3 linked regions of the Stegostoma tigrinum genome follow. The protein of the gene in region 1 binds, or shares a complex with, the protein of each later gene. Links are inferred from orthologs where the notes say so. Each region holds a gene or a part of one and is shown on either strand. Other genes may lie near its edges. The genes, in order: smek1, ppp4r4 and ppp4r2b.

Region 1 (6,980 bases):
CCACAAGGCATAAATCAAGAGAGAGTGTGTTGAAATACACTCCAGTTGTCTAGATGAAGGCAACTCCAGAAACCCATTCAGTGCAAAGAGCCCTGACTGGCTGGCATGCCATTCACCATCTTAGCCATTAACTTACCCCATCAATGATAATTTACCCAGGTTCCCTTAAAACACTTTCCGACCTACTCTGTTCCGGGTCCCCTGCTCTTTGTGATCTTTATAAATGACTTGGATGAAGAAATGGAAGAGTGGGTAAGTTAGTTTGCTGATGACATGAATGTTGGTGGAACAAAAACAAAATTGCTGGAAAAGCTCAGCAGGTCTGGCAGCATCTGTGAAGGAAAAAGAGTTAACGTTTCAGGTCTGGTGACCATTCCTCAGAAGGTCAGTGAAGTTGTAGAACGTGTGGAGGGCTTTTGTAGATTGCAACTGGACATTGACAGGATGCAGAGCTGGGGAAAGAAGTGGCAGATGGAATTCAATCCTGAAAAGTGTGGAGTGATTCATTTTGGAAGGTTGAATTTGAATGCAGAATACAGGGTTAATGGCAAGATTCTCGGCAGTGTGGAGGAACAGAGGGATATTGGGGTCCGTGTCCATAGAACTCTTAAAGTTGCTACCCAAGTTGTTAGGGTTATTAAGAAGGCATGTGGTGTGTTAGCTTCCATTGGCAGGGAAATTGAGTTTAAGAGCCATGAGGTTATGCTGCAGTTCTATAAAACCCTGGTTATAGGAAAGATGTGGAAGCTTTAGAGAGGGTGTAGAGGAGATTTACCAGGATGCTGCCTGGACTGGAGGGCAGGTCTTGAGGAAAGGTTGAGGAAGCTAGGGCTTTTTTCATCAGAGTGAAGGAAGATAAGAGGTGACTTGATAGAGGTGTACAAGATGATGAGTCATAGATATAGTGGATAGCTGGGGACCTCTCTCCCAGGGCAAAAATGACTTATGAGGGGGCATAATTTTAAGGTAATTGGAGGAAGGTATAGGGGAGATGTCAGAGGTAGGTTCTTCACACAGAGTGGTAGGTGTGTGAAACGTGCTGCCAGCAGTGATAGTGGAGTCAGATATATTTGGGATATTCAAGCAACTCTTGGACAGGCACATGAATGACAGTAAATTATAGGGTATACAGGGTAGTTTGATCTTAGGTTCATGATGTCGTGCCAACCTGTTATCCTACTCTAATGGCCTGTACTGTGCCGTACTGTTCTATGTTCTAACCCTTAACCTCTGCCACCTATAATAACAAGGACTGTAGATATACGGGACCAGATTCCTTTGAACCATAGACTGTCCCAACACTAACTGTTGCTATACCTTCACTGTCACTGGATCAAAATCCTGGAACCTCCTTCTGAGCAACACTGCTGTTTCAAGGTGGCAGCTTACTGCAACACCAATTAGAGCTGGATAACAGGTGTTGGCCTAGCATACACTATGTTCCAGAAAGAACCCAAAGTGTGTGCCTATGTGGGTAGAAGACAGAAGAATGTTATCAGCCAATCTCCAAATATACTGGTTAATGGGAACAAATGAGAACAAATGAGACTGAGGAAAGTTAAATCGAGGAGGTAGTGATTAAAATATGCCTCAAAAGTTGCTTATGAAACAGTATTAAACAGTCAGGAAGTGGAACTGCAGCTCTTTAAAATCACCTGACAAGTGGACAAAAAGATTGTGTTGGAAAATATTATCCTATGTAATCAATTCTCTTAAGTAGTGATGCCATCTGGAAGAAAACTTCCAATGTGTGTTTAAACAAGTCAATAATAACCCTGACAATGCTGAACGAGGGAAAGCTGGTTCTCAAAAGGCATAAACTTTTTGTTTTTCTCAAGTTTATTTTAAATGTTTCTCTTTATTTCTGAAAGTATTCATGCCACTCCATATATAAGTCCACATCAAAAATCACACAATGGATATTACGAAAAGGAGTCACTCTCGAAACGTTCACTTTGATTCTCCCCACAGATGCTGCCAGACCTGCTGAGTTTCTCCAGGACTTATATAGAAAATTCAATCAAGTACAGCCAGAATGTTCTCCTTTGGGAGAAAAAAAAGGAATGCCTTCAGGAGACTGTTGGCCAATACAAATCAGGTGGACAACCCCCTCGAGGATTAATGAGGGATAGGTATAAACTCTTTGTACAACACTAAACTTCTTTCGAGTCGTGCCGCGCAAAGGAGGGATCTTTAGCGCCACAAAAAAAATAGAAGCATACAAAAAACGCCACAGTGATCTCGTAACGAGAGGCTCCAACTTCAGATATAAACACAACAGTTCAAGAGAGAGTAACACAACCATGGATCGAGGGCTGAGGCCTGTAATTTCTCACCGATAGAACACGCTGTCAGGTAGCTGCTACACTCCCACCCCCAGTCCCACCCACCCACCCCTTCTGAAAAGGGGCATAATCTTATCCCAGGATCTCTTACCGTCAGACTCGGCCCTGACCAGGAGGGACATTCCCTTCAGGCGCTCCACATAGCTAGAAGAGACGTGTCCGGTGCCACGATCATCCCACTGCCTGTCCTCGTTGAGTGTATAAACCTTCACCCGCCTCCGGGTGTCCGCCATTGCCGTGGCTCAGGCTCGGGGAGGGGAGGAGGAAGCCCGGGGGTAGGAAGACGCTGTGGAGGGGAACCGATGCCAACCTCAACTCTCCCCTCCTCCAAACGCGCTTGAGAAACAACAAAAATAAATACCTTTTAAAAAGTCAAACTAAGATTTAAAAAACAATAGACAATCGGGCTGAATTCACAGGGCACTCATCCTTCCGAGACCTAGGCCCAGGCCGATGCCTTGGGCTCTGGTGATAAGAGGCCGGGAAAAGTCTCTCCCTCCCGCAGCCGACAAATTCTATCCTGCTCCGTGGCGTCAACACCCACTCGTTGATGACAGAATCAGGTCTATAACTCTGGATGATTTTAAATCCTCATTCCGGTATATATTTTTTTGAATGTGTCCTTTCTTGTTCCGAACTCGAAGAGGAGGTTATTTGCCCCCGCTCGCTGACTCTACGGCCTGTAAGAGGCCGCCCACCCGCTCTCTACTCCTCCGCCCCCCCCCTCGGAAACTCCGCCGCCGCTCCCTCATCCAGCGGCCGCCATGTTGCATCCTCTCCCCCCCCCCCCACGACAGGCAGCACGGGGTCTCCTGCCAGGGGCCGTCTTCCCGCCTAAACCGCCCGCTCACGCGCTCCCAGCCGAACGGCCATCGGTGGCGGCTGACCACCGGGAGGACAACCGTATGAGGGGTCAGTCAGGTAGTGACCAGAGGACTACGATATGAAGCCTTAGTCAGTGAGTGACCATCGGGAGGACCACTGTGTGAGGGGTCAGGCAGTGAGTGACCACTGTGAGGACCAATGTGTGAGCGGTCAGTCAGGTTGTTACCACTGTGTGAGGGCTCAGTCAGTGAGACCACCAGGAGGACCACCGTGTGAGGCCTTAGTCAGTGAGTGACCATCGGGAGGACCAATGTGTGAGCGGTCATTCAGTGAGTGACCACCAGGAGGACCAATGTGTGAGCGGTCAGTCAGTGAGTGAACGCTGGGAGGACCGCCACGTGAGTGGTCTATCAGTGAGTGACCACCAGGAGTACCACCGTGTGAGGGCTCAGTGAGTGACCACCAGGAGGACCACTGTGTGAGGGGTCTACCAGTGAGTGACCACCGGGAGTACCACTGTGTAAGGGGTCACTCAGTGAGTGATCACTGGGAGAAACACCGTGTCAGGGCTCAGTGAGTGATCGTCAGGAAGACCACTGTGTGAGGGGCCAGTCAGGTTGTGACCTTTGGGAGGACCGCCATGTGAGGGGTCAGTTAGGTGGAGATCACTGGGAGGACCACCATGTGAGTGTTCAGTCAGATATTGACCACCATATGAGAGGTCAGTCAGTTGTGACCATTAAGAGGGACCATTTTATGAGGGGTGAGTGACCAGCGGGAGGACCATTATGAGAAATCAGTCAATGAATAAACGTTGAGAGGACCACTGTGAGGGGTCAGCCAGTGAGTGACCATCAGGAAGACCACAGTGTGTGGGGCCTTTCAGTAACTGACCACCATGTAAGGAGTCAATCAATGAGTGACCACAAGGAGGATGACCATCTGAGAGGTCAGTCAGTGAGTGACCATTGGGAGGTTTGCTGTGTGATGGGTCAGTTAGGGTGACCATCAGTCAATGAGTGACCAGTGAGTTGACCCACTCTGTGTAGGTTCAGTGGGTCACCGTTCACACTCACTGTGTGTGATCATTGGGAGACATTATTGTGTGAGGTGTCAGCAAGTGACCACTGAGCTGGTCTTCTGTGTCAGGGATCAGTCAGTGAGTGACCATTGGGTGTGATCATTGTGTGAGGGTTCAGTCAGTGTTTGATCACCAGGTTGACCCACTGTGAGGAGTCAGTGTGTGAGCATGAAGAGGCCCCTATTGCTGAGGGGCTGGTCAGTCAGTGACCATTGAAAGGACACAGTCCTGAGGGATCAGTGAGTGACCATCGAGAGGATCCAGCACTGAGCGTTCAATCAATAAGGGACCATTGTGAGCACCCAGTGTTGAAGGGTAAATTAGTGAGTGACTATCGAGAGGGTCACGAGCTGAGGGGGTCAGTAAGTGAGTAAGTATTGTGAGCACCTAGTGCTGAAGGGTAAATTAGTGAGTGACTATCGAGAGGGTCACGAGCTGAGGGGGTCAGTAAGTGAGTAAGTATTGGGAGGACCCAGTGCTAAGAGGTTAGTCAGTCAGAGTTCACTGGGAAAGCCCAGTGCTGACGGTTCAGCCAGTGACTGACCTTCAGCAGGACCTGGTGTTGAGGGATCAGTCAGTGAGAGACCGTCGGGAGCAACGCTGAGGGATCAGTGAGCGACCACTGAGAAGACCTTGGACTGAGGTGTAATGTCAGTGTGACCATTAGTAGGGTCCCAATGTGAGGCAGGAAGGCCAATGAGTGAGAGACTGTCAAGAGGACCTTGTGTTAAAGTGATCATTGGGAGGACCATTGTGCTGAGTGGTCAGTAAATGAATGATCACTGATAGTGCCCGTTGGTCATTCAGTGACTGCTTGGCCTGCTGTGTTCATCTAGCTCCGCACTTTATCTCAGAATCTCCAGCATCTGCAGTTCCCATTATTTCTCATCAAAAAAGAAGTATTGTGATGACAGGTCAGAGAGTGACCACCAGGAGTGTGCTGTACTGAGGGGTCAGTCAGTACATTTGACCATCGGGATGCCCTGTGCGAGAGTTCAGTAAGCGAATGAGTGACCATAAGGATGCCTGTATGCTGTGGGTGTCGTATAGTGTGTGACCATCAGGACGTCACTATACTGAAGGAATCAGCCAACAAGTGATCATTTGGATATCCCTGTACTGTGGGGTCAATGAGTGACCATCAAGATATCTCTCCACTCCATCCGAATATCTGTATACACTAAGGACTCCCTATTTTCCTAAGTTGATTCTTGGTAAGGAGGAATGTCCCTATGAGTAGGTTGGGCTTGTATTCGTTGGGGTTTAGGAGAACGAAAGGAGACTGTATTGAAACATATAAGATCTTTCTGAGGCTTGATGCAGTAGATGTTGAGAAATTCTGTTCCCTTTGTGGAGGGTTTAGGACCAGAAGACATAACTTCAGAGTAAGGAGTCACCCATTTAAGGTAGGAGATGAGGAATTTTTTTTTCCCCTCAGAATGTGGTGAATTCTGTACAATTCTTTATTGCAAAGGTTTTGAGGTTCTGTCATTAACTATGTTTAGTGCTGAGATTGACTTTTAATCGGCAAAAGAATTAAGGGTTATGAGGAAAAGGTAGGAAAGTGGAGCCATGATCCCACATTGTCTACTTCTGTTCCTTCATCTCATGGTCTTGAGGTCTTAACTGCCTTAAAAATGTTCAATGATTAACCTTCCATTGCCTTCTGAGATAGTGACCTAAAACGTCACAGAGGTTTATCAGAGAAAAATATTGTGCTCTTCTCTGCCTTAAAGGATAACACCTAATTTTTAAATATCAACCCGCACCCCAAGTTCTGGACTTAATACAGAAGAGGGAACCATCCTTCCACATTCCCCTTGTCAAGTCTATTCAGGATCTCATGTACTTCAGTCGTCTCCCCTTTTTGAAACACTCATGGAGCTTGTTGCATTTAGACATTTAGTGATGTGGAACCTTGTCCTTTTTTACATCTACACTTTTTAAATCTCTTGCTATTTAAGAGGTATATCTGTGTCACTTGATACTGTGCATATCTGTTTCTCCTATCAACATGGATAACCTCACAATTTTCCACATTTCATCTGCCATATCAATTCAAATTGAAGTCACTATATCTTCCTCACTGCAGACATTCTTTGTGCTAGCTTTGAGTCAGCTACAAACTTAGAAGTATCACATTCAGTCCTCATATTCAAATTTTATATATATGGGTTTAATATGTAGCAAATATAGGGACCAAGTACTGATCTTTGCATTACCTCACTAGTTGAAGCTCGCCATGTGAAAGTGACCATTCATTCTTACTCTTTGCTTCTACCTGTTGTTAGCTACTTCTTAATCTATGCTAGTATCTTGTTTCCTACTTGCTCTAATCTTAATAACCAATTTCCTGCAATTTCACAAAAGCCTTTTGAATGCCACTTCTAATGATTTTCTCTTATCAATTCTATAATAGTGTACCAAAAAAAAACACTAGTTTTGTCAAACACATTCCAATGCAAGTTTCAATTCTGAAGAAGGGCCTAGGCCCGAAACATCAGCTTTCCTGCTCCTCTGAAGCAGCTCGGCCTGCTGTGTTCATCCAGCTCTACACTTTGATATCTTCAATCCAGTAAACTTTATCTGAACCACATCAAACATATTTACTTGCCTTCTGAACTAAGGAGACTAAAACTGCACTATATCTGAGATGTTATATCACAAACACTCTGTATAATTGAAGCATAGTGTCCCTACTTTTATGTTCAATTCCTCATAATTGATAG
Region 2 (7,451 bases), about 19 Mb from region 1:
CAGGTGTCATTTACAACAATTCTGGATGTGAGTTTGCTCGCTGAGCTGGAAGGTTAGTTTTCAGACGTTTCATCACCATTCTAGGTAACATCATCAGTGAGCCTCCCACGAAGCGCTGGTGTTATGTCCCGCTTTCTATTTATCTGGTTAGGTTTCCTAGAGTTGGTGATGTCATTTTCTGTTTGAGAAGATTTGTAGCTCAGGTTGAGGTTCTGGATGTGAGTTTGCTCGCTGAGCTGGAAGGTTAGTTTTCAGACGTTTCGTCACCATTCTAGGTAACATCATCAGTGAGCCTCCGACGAAGCGCTGGTGTTATGTCCCGCTTTCTATTTAGGAAATGACATCACCAACCCAAGGAAACCTAACCAGATAAATAGAAAGCGGGACATAACACCAGCGCTTCATCGGAGGCTCACTGATGATGTTACCTAGAATGGTGACGAAACATCTGAAAACTAACCTTCCAGCTCAGCGAGCAAACTCACATCCAGAACCTCAACCTGAGCTACAAATCTTCTCAAAACTCGCTATTTACAACAATGTTGCAACAAGGGCACATCTGCCTGTTTGAATCAGTGTAAAAGAGCCCACAGACATGATTTATATACCTCAATCAACATCACAAAAAACACATTAGCTTGTCATTATCACCGCTGTTTGTGGAAGACTGTTTGCATAAATTGACTACTTCACTTTCTTCATTATTACACTGTAATGTGGTATATGAATGTAAATCTTCCTTTCTCTTCTTTCTACTAAAAGCATCTTATAATGGATAGTGATGAAAGGTTTATATATGCATTTGACAAACCATACAGCGTAAATTGCTCAAACTGACAAGAGTTTGCTAAAGCCGCCTCATCAGCCAAAGTGCTCTTTTTGGCAGAAACCATTTTTTAAAAGAAGAGTTTTAAGGTTATCAATCCATGCAGATTAACAACATACAGATACAGCGAAATACGGAAAACAGTGGAGAAACTGGATGGGTCAGACAGTTTCTGTGGAGAGCAGTTACTATTTCACTCTCTCTCCTCCTCCTCTGCTGCCCTGCTGAGCATTTCCAGCCGTGATTTTCTTTTAATTCACATATCCAGCATCTGCATTTTGATTTAGCATTGATTTAAAATTCAGATTCATCTGTTCTGTTGTACATAGTACTTTTAACAAAAATCTAGTTTGTATCATATCAGAAATGTCTCCATTAAATTAGTACATGAGATAGCAAATAGATTTCACATTGTAACAAGGTCCATGTTAATATTTGTTCAGAAATATAATCTGACCTATTCAATCTTGATTTATATTTGTCCCAATTTTTTCATATATCGATTAAATAAATCTAAAATTAAGTTATGGATTGAAATCTTAATAAATATGCTCGATATAAATGGCAGCGACACTTAAAATGTTAATAATGAACTGGTAAATGTTCTCGTTAAAATGAGTCATAATGTGCTAACAATTTCAGTGCGTACGGCAGATTTGATGTCTCAGTTGCTGATAACTTACATGATATAGCTTCTCTACCCTACGGCTGTAATCGGTAATAACTAGTGGAACTGTGTAACAAATCTGATTTTGTCTCTGTGCCCGAGACAGGCAGTCAATTTTCGCTTTAAATACATTTCCAGCACAGTGATTCAGGGGTAACGCAGGCTCTGCCTTCATTGCGCTGCAAGCGCAGCCCAGTGTAACCTTGATAGCTCTACTTACATACACGGATAGTGTACCTCATACATACATAATATGCACATACATATATATACATAATATATATATTTTCCACCATCACCATCATCCAACAACCACACTCCCCTTTCTCACATACACACCTTCAGGTATCGACGCACTGGTCTTTCGATGAAGCTAAGTTCCTGCAAATCTTCTATTTGCCCGAATAAATTCTCCTGGTTGAAATCCATCATTTTTTAAAAACAAAATAAGGATTCGAAGAGATGAGAATAAAGCAGCAGAGAGTTCGGGGAGGATGAAGACCTGTGTGCGTTTGTGTGTGGGTGCGGGTTTGAGCCGGGATCCGGGGGTGGGGAGAGGAGGCTGGGGGAAGAGTGTGCAGAGTGGTGGGGTGAAACTGGGGTGGGGTGGAGGTGAAGGTGGGGATGGCGAGAGGGAATAGAGAATGAGTGTACTGGTGGGAAGAGAAGGTGACGATGATAGGGGGAAGAACAGAGGATTAGAGCGGGGGAAAGAGTATGGGGAGGAAAGAGGGTGAAGATTGGCGGGGGGAGACGATGGGGGTCGGGGAGGAGAGTATGGGGAGAAGAGGGTGAGGATTGGGGGGAGAGGGTGAGGATCGGGGGAGAGAAGGGGGTGATGATCGATAGGGAGAAGAGGGTGAGGATTGGGGGGAGAGGGTGAGGATCGGAGGCGGAGAGGGTGACGATCGGAGGAGGGGGAAGAGGGTGAGGATCGGAGGCGGAGAGGGTGACGATCGGAGGAGGGGGAAGAGGGTGAGGATCGGAGGCGGAGAGGGTGACGATCGGAGGGGGAAGAAGGTGAGGATCGGTGGCGGAGAGGGTGACGATCGGAGGTGGGGGGGAAGAGGGTGAGGACCGGACAGGGCGAGAGGGTGCGTAAGGTGAAGGGAGGGAGGGTTGCGGGTGGAGAGAGGGATCAGAGAAGGGGAAGGTGGTCAGCGACTCTCCGACGATCCTAGCACCATATATCCCGGTATCCGAGCCGTCCGACCGGCAGTTGGAAGATGAGGCGCCACCTCTCCCAAACCTCGCTCTCTGCCCTCCCCCCGCCCCCACACCAGGCGGTGGAGGCTTAGGTTACCGGGGGTCTTCGGCCTCTTTCGGATCTCAGCGGCAGACTATCCCTTTCCTTTTCACCTGCCGTCAATCCACCAGGCGCAGGAGCTGCGTTACCGCCCCGCCCCCCCAACACACAAACGCTCTGTGTGGTATCTCTGTAGGTCACAGAGAGGGTCTTCGTGGTTATCCCCGAATCCGGGGGGGGGGGGGGGGGATTGTCCGAAAAGAGCGAAGCGGCGATCGTTTTCCTTCTCCCCAGAGCGGAGCCGGAGACGGGAAACCTCGACGGGCAGGTGAGTGGGAGGGAGGGAGCAGTGTGACCGGGACTGGGTTGGGGTGGGGGTGGGGGGAGGCGGTGAGGGGGTGGGGGGAGGGAAAGGCGCGCGGGGGCGGGGATGGACCTCTCCGTCTCCCTGGGCAGCCGCCGTCGCCAGGGCAACGAGTCGCTACGGCGAGCGTCGAGCGTCCCGATCTCCCACGCACGTCGGGACGGAAGGCGTTCGCTCGTCAGTTCGCACCTGCCTCGGGGACCGTCTTGACGTCCCTCACCCTCCCTTATCAATCATCACTTGGAGTTTAGTTTTCCTTTAATCCCGTCCCTGACGCACTCAAATCGCGGAGAACGCAAAGGACAACGAGGTTGTGGGTCTGGGGTTGGAGGGAAGAGTGGATCTGGAGTGTTTAAATTTTCGCCTCACCAACCCGTACACCTCTGGAGCAGGTGGGACGTAGTACCCCTCCTAGTACAGAGTCAGGGCCAATGCCACCAGCGTCTGGTGTGGGCCCGGATAGGGGGCTGCAGTTTACCTTTGACGATTGACTCCAAACAGTGATTTCTCCCAGTGTGAATCATCAAGTCTAGTGGGTGGGGGTCCTATTGTGTAAACCATGATTAATGCTGGAGGATCACTTGTGTTACATGTGCTGCTGGCAGATGCTTCAGTTTTCTGTGGGAATTCAGTACTTTTGGCGTTTCTGAAAAAGTAAAGATATTCTGCCCTCTCTCCCCAAGCTCGTGAACTCTTTTCATTTTTGCTGGAGTATCATCTCATGGCCTTTAGCCAACGAGCCATTTTAATGGGTGTCGTTTCCACAGCTCACTGGTAACTTTCCAAATCACAAGGTTGTGGGTTTAAGATTTTTGAGCACAAGAGGGAGGCTCACCCCTCCACTGAGAAACCATAAACAGTAGGCCCTTCAGCTTATTAAGTCTACTTGCCAATTACTGAGATCATAGCTGCTCTGACAATCATCAACTCCACTTTCCTGCCTTTTCCTCTATAACCCTTGACTCCCTTACTGAATAAAAATCTGACTTGCACTTAAGATCATCAAGATATGCGGCATGGAAACAGGCCCTTTGGTCCAACTCGTCCATGCTGATGATTTGTCCTATGTAATTCTAGTCCCATTTGGCCCAACTCCCTCTAAACCCTTCCTGTTCATATACCCATACTTTTAAATATTGTAATTATACCAGCCTCCACTTCCTCTGATAGTTCATTCCATACATGTGTGAAAATGTGACCCTTTAGGTCCCTTTTATATCTTTCCACTCTCAGTTTAAAGCTATGCCCTCTAGTTTTGTATTCCTCCACTCAGGGAAAAGACCCTGGCTATTTACCCTGTCCATGCCTCTTGTGATTTTATAAACCTCTACAAAGTCACACCTCAGCCTCTGACACTGTAGGGAAAATAGCCTGAGCCTATTCAGCATTTCCCTATGGCTTAAATCATCTCTACACTGTTGCATGATGACTAATAACAAACAACAGTACAGCCCTGGAAAAGGCACTTCAGCCCCCAAGATTGCACTGACACATAATGCCTTTCTAAACAAAAAAACCTCTTGCCTCTATGCTATTGATTTCCCTCTCTTCCCTGCCTATTCATATGTATGCCAAGATGATTCCTAAACATTCTATTCCACCATTTCCTCTGGCTATGCATTTCAGGGAATTACCATCCTCTGTATAAAAAAAACCAACATCTCACCTTTTAAACTTATCCCCTTTTACCTTAAATCCAAATCCACTACCTAGTATCAGTGATAATGGGAACTGCAGATGCTGGAGAATCCAAGATAACAAAGTGTGGAGCTGGATGAACACAGCAGGCCAAGCAGCATCTCAGGAGCACAAAAGCTGATGTTTCAGGCCTAGACCCTCTCCCTGGCAGTGCTAACCACTGTGCCAACATTTGTCAAAAATTTCATTCCACATGCAAACCACCCTCTGTGTAAAACATTTGCCTATCATGCATTTTTTATATCTCTCTCCTCTCAACTTAAATATGTGCTCCCTAGTCTGGAAATCCACCATCCTGGGGAAAAGATAACTTCCAGTAACTCCATCCATACCGCTATTATTTTATAAACTTCAATAAGTTCACCTCTCAACCTCCTATGCTCCAGTGAAAAAAGTTCCAGACTATCCAGCCTTTCTTTATAACTCAAACCTTCCATACTCGGCAACGTCCTAGTAAATCTCTTCTGAACCCTCACCAGCTTAATAATATCCTTCCTATAACTGGGTGACCAGATTTGGCCACAGTATTCCAGAAAAGGGCTCAACAACACCCTGGAAAACTTCAACATGGCTTCCCAACTCCTACACTCAAAGCACTGAGCAATGAAAGCAAGCATGTCAAATACCTTTTTAACTACCCTGTCTATATGTGATGCTAACTTCAAAGAATAATGTACCTGCACCCCTTAGTCCCCTGTTCTAAAGTACCACCCAAGGCCCTACTTCTAATTGTATAATTCTACACTGGGAAAAAGACTCCAACTATCTATTTTATCCTTGCCTCTCAAAATTTTGTAAACTTCTATCAGGTTTCTCTCATCCTTCATTCAAGTGAAAACAGACTAAGTTTGTCCAATCTTTCCTCATATCTCATACCCTCCAAACCAGGCAACATCCTGGTAAAATGTTCTGTACCCTCTCCAAAGCCTCCACGTCCTTCTGGTATTGTGGCAACCAGAACTGTACACAATATTGCAAATGTGACTTAACTAAAGTTCTGTACAGCTGCAACATGACTTGTCAATTTTTATACATAATGCCCCAAGTTTTGAAGGATAAAGCATGCTATATGCCTCCTTGACTATCTTATCCACTTGTGGGTAACTGGGAAGTGTTGCCTAGTGTACTGACTGATCCCTCAACCATTGTTCCCTGTGGTCAGTGTCACATGGTCTCGTGTACGGGGCCTTGAGTGCAATTTAATGTCTATGGCTCCCACATATAACGGTGTCCGCACTTGAAAAGTATTTACATGGAACGCAGAACAGTACAGTACAGGAACAGACCCTTTAGCCCATGATGTTGTGCTGAACATGATGCCAAATTAAACCAAACCCTTCTGCTTGCCCTTTCTTCATATTCCTCCATTCTTTGCAAACCCATGTGCTTATCTATAAGTATGTTAAACACCCCTACCATATCTGCCTCCACCACCAACCCTGGCAGTGAGTTTCAGACTCCTACCACTCACTGTGTAAAAAACCCCTCAGATCTCCTTTGAACTTTCCCCTTTCATTTTAAACACATGTCCCTTAGTATTAGACATCTCAACTCAGGGGAAAAGATTCTGACCATGAACCTTATCTGTGCATATCATAATTTTACAGACAACTGTCAAGTTTCCCTCAACCTCAGCTGCTCCAGACAAAACAACCCTAATTTTTCTAGCCCATCCGTATATAGCTCATACCCTCTAATCCAGGCGGCATCCTAGTAAACCTCTTCTGTCCCTCTTCAAAGCCTCCACCTAATTGGCTGTAAAGTATTTTGGGTTAGCTTGAGGTCAAGAAAGGCACCATATATCTTCCATTTTTCACCTGGGATTTTTCATATGGTGAATAAAAACCAAAAGAACTGCGGATGCTGTAAATCAGGAACTAAAACAAAGTTGCTGGAAAAGCTCAGCAGGTCTGGCAGCATCTGTGAGGGAAAACAAAAACAGAGTTAACGTTTTGGGTCTGGTGACCTTTCCTCAGAACTTTTCACATGGTGTGTTGACAATCTATTATAAAAATGTTCATCATATTTTTGTCCTCTCCTGTTCTACTCAAAAACAAAAGCTAAATGTCTGCTAAAGATATGAAATAATAATAAAAATCTCTTGAAATACTTTACACTCCTTTGGAGTGGAAAACAGAGTTAATGTTTCATGTTAATGAGCAACAGATCCTGGAATCCTCCAAACCTATTTAGCTCAACATCACAACAATGTGACTATCTGGTTTGAACCCAAATGGTTAATGGGACCAAAACCAGTCAGCATGTTAAACTGCAAAACTGTGATATCAAGGATAGCATCAAATGCATTTTAAAAGTTAACAAGAACAATCATTTGCACTAACAAAATGTACTGTAGCAACATAAAGCTCTTGGCCTGATATATATATATATGAATAAAGCTAAGGTTTAAAATGGAGACCACTCTTAAAGTAAGTACAAAAGAGAAGAAATTAGAGCAAAATAAATCACACACTACAAAGTAAAGAATTATTGAAAACAGAAAACATGGTGAAAGTTTCAATATCTACAAGTAAAACAAATTAAATGTAGTAATATAGTTGTTTGAAATGCAAGTAAGCTGATATATCTGTTATTCAAAGAAAATACTGGAAGGATATATGCCCACATCCTGACTGCAAAACATTTGATG
Region 3 (7,215 bases), on another chromosome or scaffold:
TCTCATCCTGGTATTCAAATCCCTCCAGGATCTCATCTGTTCTGATCTCTGTAATCTAATTTAGAGTTAAATCCTCAGATTTCTGCACTCATCACACTCTGATCCCTTGGTTTTTATTGCCTCACCAATGGTGGCCATGGTTTCAGCTGGCTCAGCTCCGGAAAACTCTTGAATTTCCTTTCTAAGCCTCTCTGCCTTTCAAAATTTCTTATTTTAAAATATCCTCTAAACGATCACTTTCACAATGATTTTTGGAAACCTGCTTCTTTTTTTAATGCAATATTTTATTTCACAATGTTCCTGTGACGTGTGCTGGGAATTTTTATTTATTATATTACAGGGTCTATACAAATAACTGTTGAAACTGCGCAAATATACATGTTGATTTTTGTAAGGATAATTACAAACATAATTATGTGTATGTATGAGTTTGAAGTGTGCTAAAGCATCAGTATAGTATCCATATTGGTAAAAATTAACATGGCTTTGATGTAAAATTTGATGGAAGAAATGTATATTTGATAGTTTTGCATAAGCCTATTTTTTTCTGGGGTATCATAAACTTAGTACATTCCAAAGTTGCAGTCCAGAGTCATCCCCATATCTGTTCTACATTGGAGAAGTGTAACTGCAAAATCATGGCTGCAGCAGAACCACAAGTATTACGAACACAGATATTGGGGTCTGAGGCAGCTTTTAAAAAGTTTATTCACAGGACATGGACATCATCACTAGCAAGGCCAATATTTATTGCCCATTCTAATTGCCCAGACGGCAGATGAGAGTCAACTACATTCTTGTGGATCTGGCATCACATGTAGGCCAGATTGGATAAGGATGGCAAAATTTCTTCTCTGGAAGACTTTAGTGATTAGATGGATTTTTCCTGACAATCAGCAATAGTTTCACTGTCATCATTAGAATCTTAATCCCAGATTTTTATTGAATTCAAATCCCATCATCTGTCCCCAGAACATAACCTAGATGTCTGGATTAATGTCTCGTGATAATACCATTATGCCACTGCCTTCCCAATTGATCAAGAATTACTTTAAAAATCAAATATTAATAAGAATAGCAACTGCAGAGTTTCAGTCATTGAGTTGGATGTGTGCAACTCTTTCATGTCAAAACCTTGACTGGATCAACCTGTTCTATCCATGAATGAAAGTGTTGGCAAAAGGTTTCGAGAACATACGTACCGCTGTGCCAAAAATTGTGGCTTGGTACAAGCAGCTTCCCAAAGTATTTCAGCCCAGGTTGAAGTATGAAAATATTCCAAAAACATAAAATTGATCCGCATTATCTGCACTGATGCATCTCTGAACAGGTGCATCTGCATAATTCCGACAAAAAAAAACAAAGAACTGCGAATTCGGGAAATCTGAAACAAAAACATACATTGTTGGAGAAACCAAGATAATAAAATGTGAGGCTGGATGAACACAGCAGGCCCAGCAGCATCTCAGGAGCTCAAAAGCTGACATTTCGGGCCTAGACCCTTCATCAGAGAGGGGGATGGGGTGAGGGTTCTGGAGTAAATAGGGCGAGAGGGGCAGGGACCGAAGATGGAGAGAAAAGAAGATAGGTGGAGAGGAGAGTATAGGTGGGGAGGTAGGGAGGGGATAGGTCAGTCCAGGGAAGACGGACAGGTCAAGGAGGTGGGATGAGGTTAGTAGGTAGGAGATGGAGGTGCGGCTTGGGGTGGGAGGAAGGGATGGGTGAGAGGAAGAACAGGTTAGGGAGGCAGAGACAGGTTGGACTGGTTTTGGGATGCAGTGGGTGGAGGGGAAGAGCTGGGCTGGTTGTGTGGTGCAGTGGGGGGAGGGTCGAACTGGGCTGGTTTTGGGATGCGGTGGGCGAAGGGGAGATTTTGAAGCTGGTGAAGTCCACATTGATACCATTGGGCTGCGGGGTTCCCAAACGGAATATGAGTTGCTGTTCCTGCAACCTTGGGGTGGCATCATTGTGGCACTGCAGAAGGCCCATGATGGACGTGTCATCTGAAGAATGGGAGGGGGAGTGGAAATGGTTTGCGACTGGGAGGTGCAGTTGTTTATTGCGAACCGAGTGGAGGTGTTCTGCAAAGCGGTCCCCAAGCCTCCGCTTGGTTTCCCCAATGTAGAGGAAGCCGCACCGGGTACAGTGGATGCAGTATACCACATTGGCAGATGTGCAGGTGAACCTCTGCTTAATATGGAAAGTCATCTTGGGGCCTGGGATAGGGATGAGGGAGGAGGTGTGGGGGCAAGTGTAGCATTTCCTGCTGTTGCAGGGGAAGGTGCCAGGTGTGGTGGGGTTGGAGAGCAATGTGGAGCGAACAAGGGAGTCACGGAGAGAGTGGTCTCTCCGGAAAGCAGACAAGGGTGGGGATGGAAAAATGTCTTGGGTGGTGGGGTCGGATTGTAGATGGCGGAAGTGTCGGAGGATGATGCGTTGTATCCGGAGGTTGGTGGGGTGGTGTGTGAGAACGAGGGGGATCCTCTTTGGGCGGTTGTGGCGGGGTCGGGGTGTGAGGGATGTGTTGTGGGAAATGCGGGAGACGCGGTCAAGGGCATTCTCGACCACTGTGGGGGGAAAGTTGCGGTCTTTGAAGAACTTGGACATCTGGGATGTGCGGAAGTGGAATGCCTCATCGTGGGAGCAGATGCAGCGGAGGCGGAGGAATTGGGAATAGGGGATGGAATTTTTGCAGGAGTATTCTTGGTAGCTGTGGGAGTTGGTGGACTTGAAATGGACATCAGTTACAAGCTGGTTGTCTGAGATGGAGACTGAGGGGTCCAGGAAGGTGAGGGATGTGCTGGAGATGGCCCAGGTGAACTGAAGGTTGGGGTGGAAGGTGTTGGTGAAGTGGATGAACTGTTTGAGCTCCTCTGGGGAGAAAGAGGCGGCGCCGATACAGTCATCAATGTAACGAAGAGGTGAGGTTTGGGGCCTGTGTAGGTGCGGAAAGGGTTCCACGTAACCTGCAAAGAGGCAGGCATAGCTGGGGCCCATGCGGGTGTCCATGGCCAACCCCTTTGTCTGTAGGAAGTGGGAGGAATCGAAAGAGAAGTTGTTGAGGGTGAGGTCGAGTTCGGCTAGATGGATATGGTGTCGGTAGAGGGGGACTGGTCGGGCCTGTGGGACAGGAAGAAGCGGAGGGCCTTGAGGCCATCTGCATGCGGAATACAGGTGTATAGGGACTGGACGTCCATGGTGAAAATGAGGTGTTGGGGGCCAGGGAATTGGAAGTCCTGGAGGAGGTGGAGGGCGTGTGTGGTGTCACTGCCGCAGGTAGGGAGTTCCTGGACCAAAGGGGAGAAAATGGAGTCCAGACAGGTGGAGATGAGTTTGGTGGGGCAGGAACAGGCTGAGACGATGGGTCGACCAGGGCAGGCAGGTTTGTGGATTTTGGGAAGGAGATAGAAACGGGCCGTGCGGGGTTGGGGAACAATGAGGTTGGAGGCTGTGGGTGGGAGGTCCCCTGAGGTGTTGAGGTCATGAATGGTGTTGGAGATGATGGTTTGGTGCTCGGGTGTGGGGTCATGATCGAGGGGGCGGTAGGAGGTGGTGTCGGAGAGTTGACGTCTGGCCTCGGCGATGTAGAGGTCAGTGCGCCATACTACCACTGCGCCACCCTTGTCTGCGGGTTTGATGGTGAGGTTGGGGTTGGAGTGGAGGGCTGCCCGTTCTGCGGGGGAGGTTTCTCCAGATAGGGGAAAGTTTGTTCCTTCAGGTGCCGCCAGACCTAGAGAAACACAGCAGGTTTGCCACAATCTAGAAGACAGAGTTTTAGAAGACAGAGTTTCTCCAACACACTTGTTACACGCAATTTCTACGTCATGTGCAGGAATAAACGCGTAGGAATTTAATGTTCCTCGGACAGCTCCTCCCTCGGCGCACTTTCGTCATAAAAAGGAGCTTAAAGACTGGGGAAGCAATTGAATATCCAGGACGCACAGTGATGATACTCAACGTAGGGGGTGGGGCGAAAGGGACGCACACGTGACAGTCAACCTCGCCTTCGGAGGCCCGCTCATGCGCGCCTGCGCCAGCTGCGATGGCGTCATCACGTCGAGGCGCGTGGATGACGCCACCGCGCCGTGCGATGGGAGTGACGTCTGCGGGCGGCGCCATGTTGTGTGTTTCACCCAGTGCCGGGCCCGCTGTCTACTGAAAGAGGGAACGGGGGGAAACTTTATTCGGTGGTACTCTGGGTCCCGGTTTCTGGCGCGGGGGTGGGGGGGGAAAGGGGGAATCGGTTTTAGTTGCACCTCCAAGATGGAGACGGAGAGCCTCCTGGAAGCTCTGTCAGGTCAGTGGTGGCAGACGAACGAACATTAGTTGGTGGTTTGTGTCTCACCGCGGGACTGGGAATCCCGATCCCCACGGCTTTGAATAACCTGTGCTCTCTGTGTGTGTCTTTCCCACCGGCAGATTTCGAGAAGAAATCCAAGAAGGAAGTGTCGTCGCTGTTGGACCAGTTCCTTTGTCATGTCGCGAAGACGGGAGAAACCCTGTGAGTGAAACCGTGAGAGAGAGAGAGAGAGAGAGAGGGCCCTGAGGCCCGGGAGGGAGCAGGGAACTCAACTCAGTTCTCAGCCGGGGAGAGTTGTGGGTGGTCGGAGGGTTCACAGTGAGGAAGGCTAAACAACCCACCCCCCCCATACACCACCCCCATTCTCCGTTCTCACCACCCCCCCCACACACCACCCCCCCCACACACCACCCCCATTCTCCGTTCTCACCCCCCACACACACCACCCCCATTCTCCGTTCTCACCCCCCACACACACCACCCCCATTCTCCGTTCTCACCCCCCACACACACCACCCCCATTCTCCGTTCTCACCCCCCCACACACCACCCCCATTCTCCGTTCTCACCCCCCCACACACCACCCCCATTCTCCGTTCTCACCCCCCCACACACCACCCCCATTCTCCGTTCTCACCGCCCCACACGCCACCCCCCAGCTCCTTTCTCCCTCGCCCCCCCCACACCACCCCCAGCTCCTTTCTCCCTCGCGCCCCCCGCCACACCACCCCCAGCTCCTTTCTCCCTCGCCCCCCCCCCGACACCACCCCCAGCTCCTTTCTCCCTCGCCCCCCCCCGACACCACCCCCAGCTCCTTTCTCCCTCGCCACCCCCAGCTCCTTTCTCCCTCGCCACCCCCAGCTCCTTTCTCCCTCGCCACCCCCAGCTCCTTTCTCCCTCGCCACCCCCAGCTCCTTTCTCCCTCGCCACCCCCAGCTCCTTTCTCCCTCGCCACCCCCAGCTCCTTTCTCCCTCGCCACCCCCAGCTCCTTTCTCCCTCGCCACCCCCAGCTCCTTTCTCCCTCGCCACCCCCAGCTCCTTTCTCCCTCGCCACCCCCAGCTCCTTTCTCCCTCGCCACCCCCAGCTCCTTTCTCCCTCGCCACCCCCAGCTCCTTTCTCCCTCGCCACCCCCAGCTCCTTTCTCCCTCGCCACCCCCAGCTCCTTTCTCCCTCGCCACCCCCAGCTCCTTTCTCCCTCGCCACCCCCAGCTCCTTTCTCCCTCGCCACCCCCAGCTCCTTTCTCCCTCGCCACCCCCAGCTCCTTTCTCCCTCGCCACCCCCAGCTCCTTTCTCCCTCGCCACCCCCAGCTCCTTTCTCCCTCGCCACCCCCAGCTCCTTTCTCCCTCGCCACCCCCAGCTCCTTTCTCCCTCGCCACCCCCAGCTCCTTTCTCCCTCGCCACCCCCAGCTCCTTTCTCCCTCGCCACCCCCAGCTCCTTTCTCCCTCGCCACCCCCAGCTCCTTTCTCCCTCGCCACCCCCAGCTCCTTTCTCCCTCGCCACCCCCAGCTCCTTTCTCCCTCGCCACCCCCAGCTCCTTTCTCCCTCGCCACCCCCAGCTCCTTTCTCCCTCGCCACCCCCAGCTCCTTTCTCCCTCGCCACCCCCAGCTCCTTTCTCCCTCGCCACCCCCAGCTCCTTTCTCCCTCGCCACCCCCAGCTCCTTTCTCCCTCGCCACCCCCAGCTCCTTTCTCCCTCGCCACCCCCAGCTCCTTTCTCCCTCGCCACCCCCAGCTCCTTTCTCCCTCGCCACCCCCAGCTCCTTTCTCCCTCGCCACCCCCAGCTCCTTTCTCCCTCGCCACCCCCAGCTCCTTTCTCCCTCGCCACCCCCAGCTCCTTTCTCCCTCGCCACCCCCAGCTCCTTTCTCCCTCGCCACCCCCAGCTCCTTTCTCCCTCGCCACCCCCAGCTCCTTTCTCCCTCGCCACCCCCAGCTCCTTTCTCCCTCGCCACCCCCAGCTCCTTTCTCCCTCGCCACCCCCAGCTCCTTTCTCCCTCGCCACCCCCAGCTCCTTTCTCCCTCGCCACCCCCAGCTCCTTTCTCCCTCGCCACCCCCAGCTCCTTTCTCCCTCGCCACCCCCAGCTCCTTTCTCCCTCGCCACCCCCAGCTCCTTTCTCCCTCGCCACCCCCAGCTCCTTTCTCCCTCGCCACCCCCAGCTCCTTTCTCCCTCGCCACCCCCAGCTCCTTTCTCCCTCGCCACCCCCAGCTCCTTTCTCCCTCGCCACCCCCAGCTCCTTTCTCCCTCGCCACCCCCAGCTCCTTTCTCCCTCGCCACCCCCAGCTCCTTTCTCCCTCGCCACCCCCAGCTCCTTTCTCCCTCGCCACCCCCAGCTCCTTTCTCCCTCGCCACCCCCAGCTCCTTTCTCCCTCGCCACCCCCAGCTCCTTTCTCCCTCGCCACCCCCAGCTCCTTTCTCCCTCGCCACCCCCAGCTCCTTTCTCCCTCGCCACCCCCAGCTCCTTTCTCCCTCGCCACCCCCAGCTCCTTTCTCCCTCGCCACCCCCAGCTCCTTTCTCCCTCGCCACCCCCAGCTCCTTTCTCCCTCGCCACCCCCAGCTCCTTTCTCCCTCGCCACCCCCAGCTCCTTTCTCCCTCGCCACCCCCAGCTCCTTTCTCCCTCGCCACCCCCAGCTCCTTTCTCCCTCGCCACCCCCAGCTCCTTTCTCCCTCGCCACCCCCAGCTCCTTTCTCCCTCGCCACCCCCAGCTCCTTTCTCCCTCGCCACCCCCAGCTCCTTTCTCCCTCGCCACCCCCAGCTCCTTTCTCCCTCGCCACCCCCAGCTCCTTTCTCCCTCGCCACCCCCAGCTCCTTTCTCCCTCGCCACCCCCAGCTCCTTTCTCCCTCGCCACCCCCAGCTCCTTTCTCCCTCGCCACCCCCAGCTCCTTTCTCCCTCGCCACCCCCAGCTCC

What was found.
Region 2: smek1 (region 1) and ppp4r4 share a complex: the UniProt entries of both Homo sapiens proteins name them as parts of the PP4 complex. The link is inferred for Stegostoma tigrinum from reciprocal best matches to the Homo sapiens genes PPP4R3A and PPP4R4.
Region 3: smek1 (region 1) and ppp4r2b share a complex: the UniProt entries of both Homo sapiens proteins name them as parts of the PP4 complex. The link is inferred for Stegostoma tigrinum from reciprocal best matches to the Homo sapiens genes PPP4R3A and PPP4R2.

What each region holds. Positions count from the first base shown.
Region 1 is NC_081363.1:7,135,966-7,142,945, reverse strand, and holds the start of smek1 (serine/threonine-protein phosphatase 4 regulatory subunit 3), read right to left. Parts: upstream 3,109-6,980; 5' UTR 2,579-3,108; coding exon 2,437-2,578; intron 1-2,436. UniProt on the Homo sapiens protein: Regulatory subunit of serine/threonine-protein phosphatase 4. May regulate the activity of PPP4C at centrosomal microtubule organizing centers.
Region 2 is NC_081363.1:25,918,250-25,925,700, forward strand, and holds the start of ppp4r4 (serine/threonine-protein phosphatase 4 regulatory subunit 4), read right to left. Parts: upstream 3,075-7,451; 5' UTR 1,926-3,074; coding exon 1,833-1,925; intron 1-1,832. UniProt on the Homo sapiens protein: Putative regulatory subunit of serine/threonine-protein phosphatase 4.
Region 3 is NC_081364.1:39,750,808-39,758,022, reverse strand, and holds the start of ppp4r2b (serine/threonine-protein phosphatase 4 regulatory subunit 2-B), read left to right. Parts: upstream 1-4,207; 5' UTR 4,208-4,263; coding exon 4,264-4,297; intron 4,298-4,419; coding exon 4,420-4,501; intron 4,502-7,215. UniProt on the Homo sapiens protein: Regulatory subunit of serine/threonine-protein phosphatase 4 (PP4). May regulate the activity of PPP4C at centrosomal microtubule organizing centers.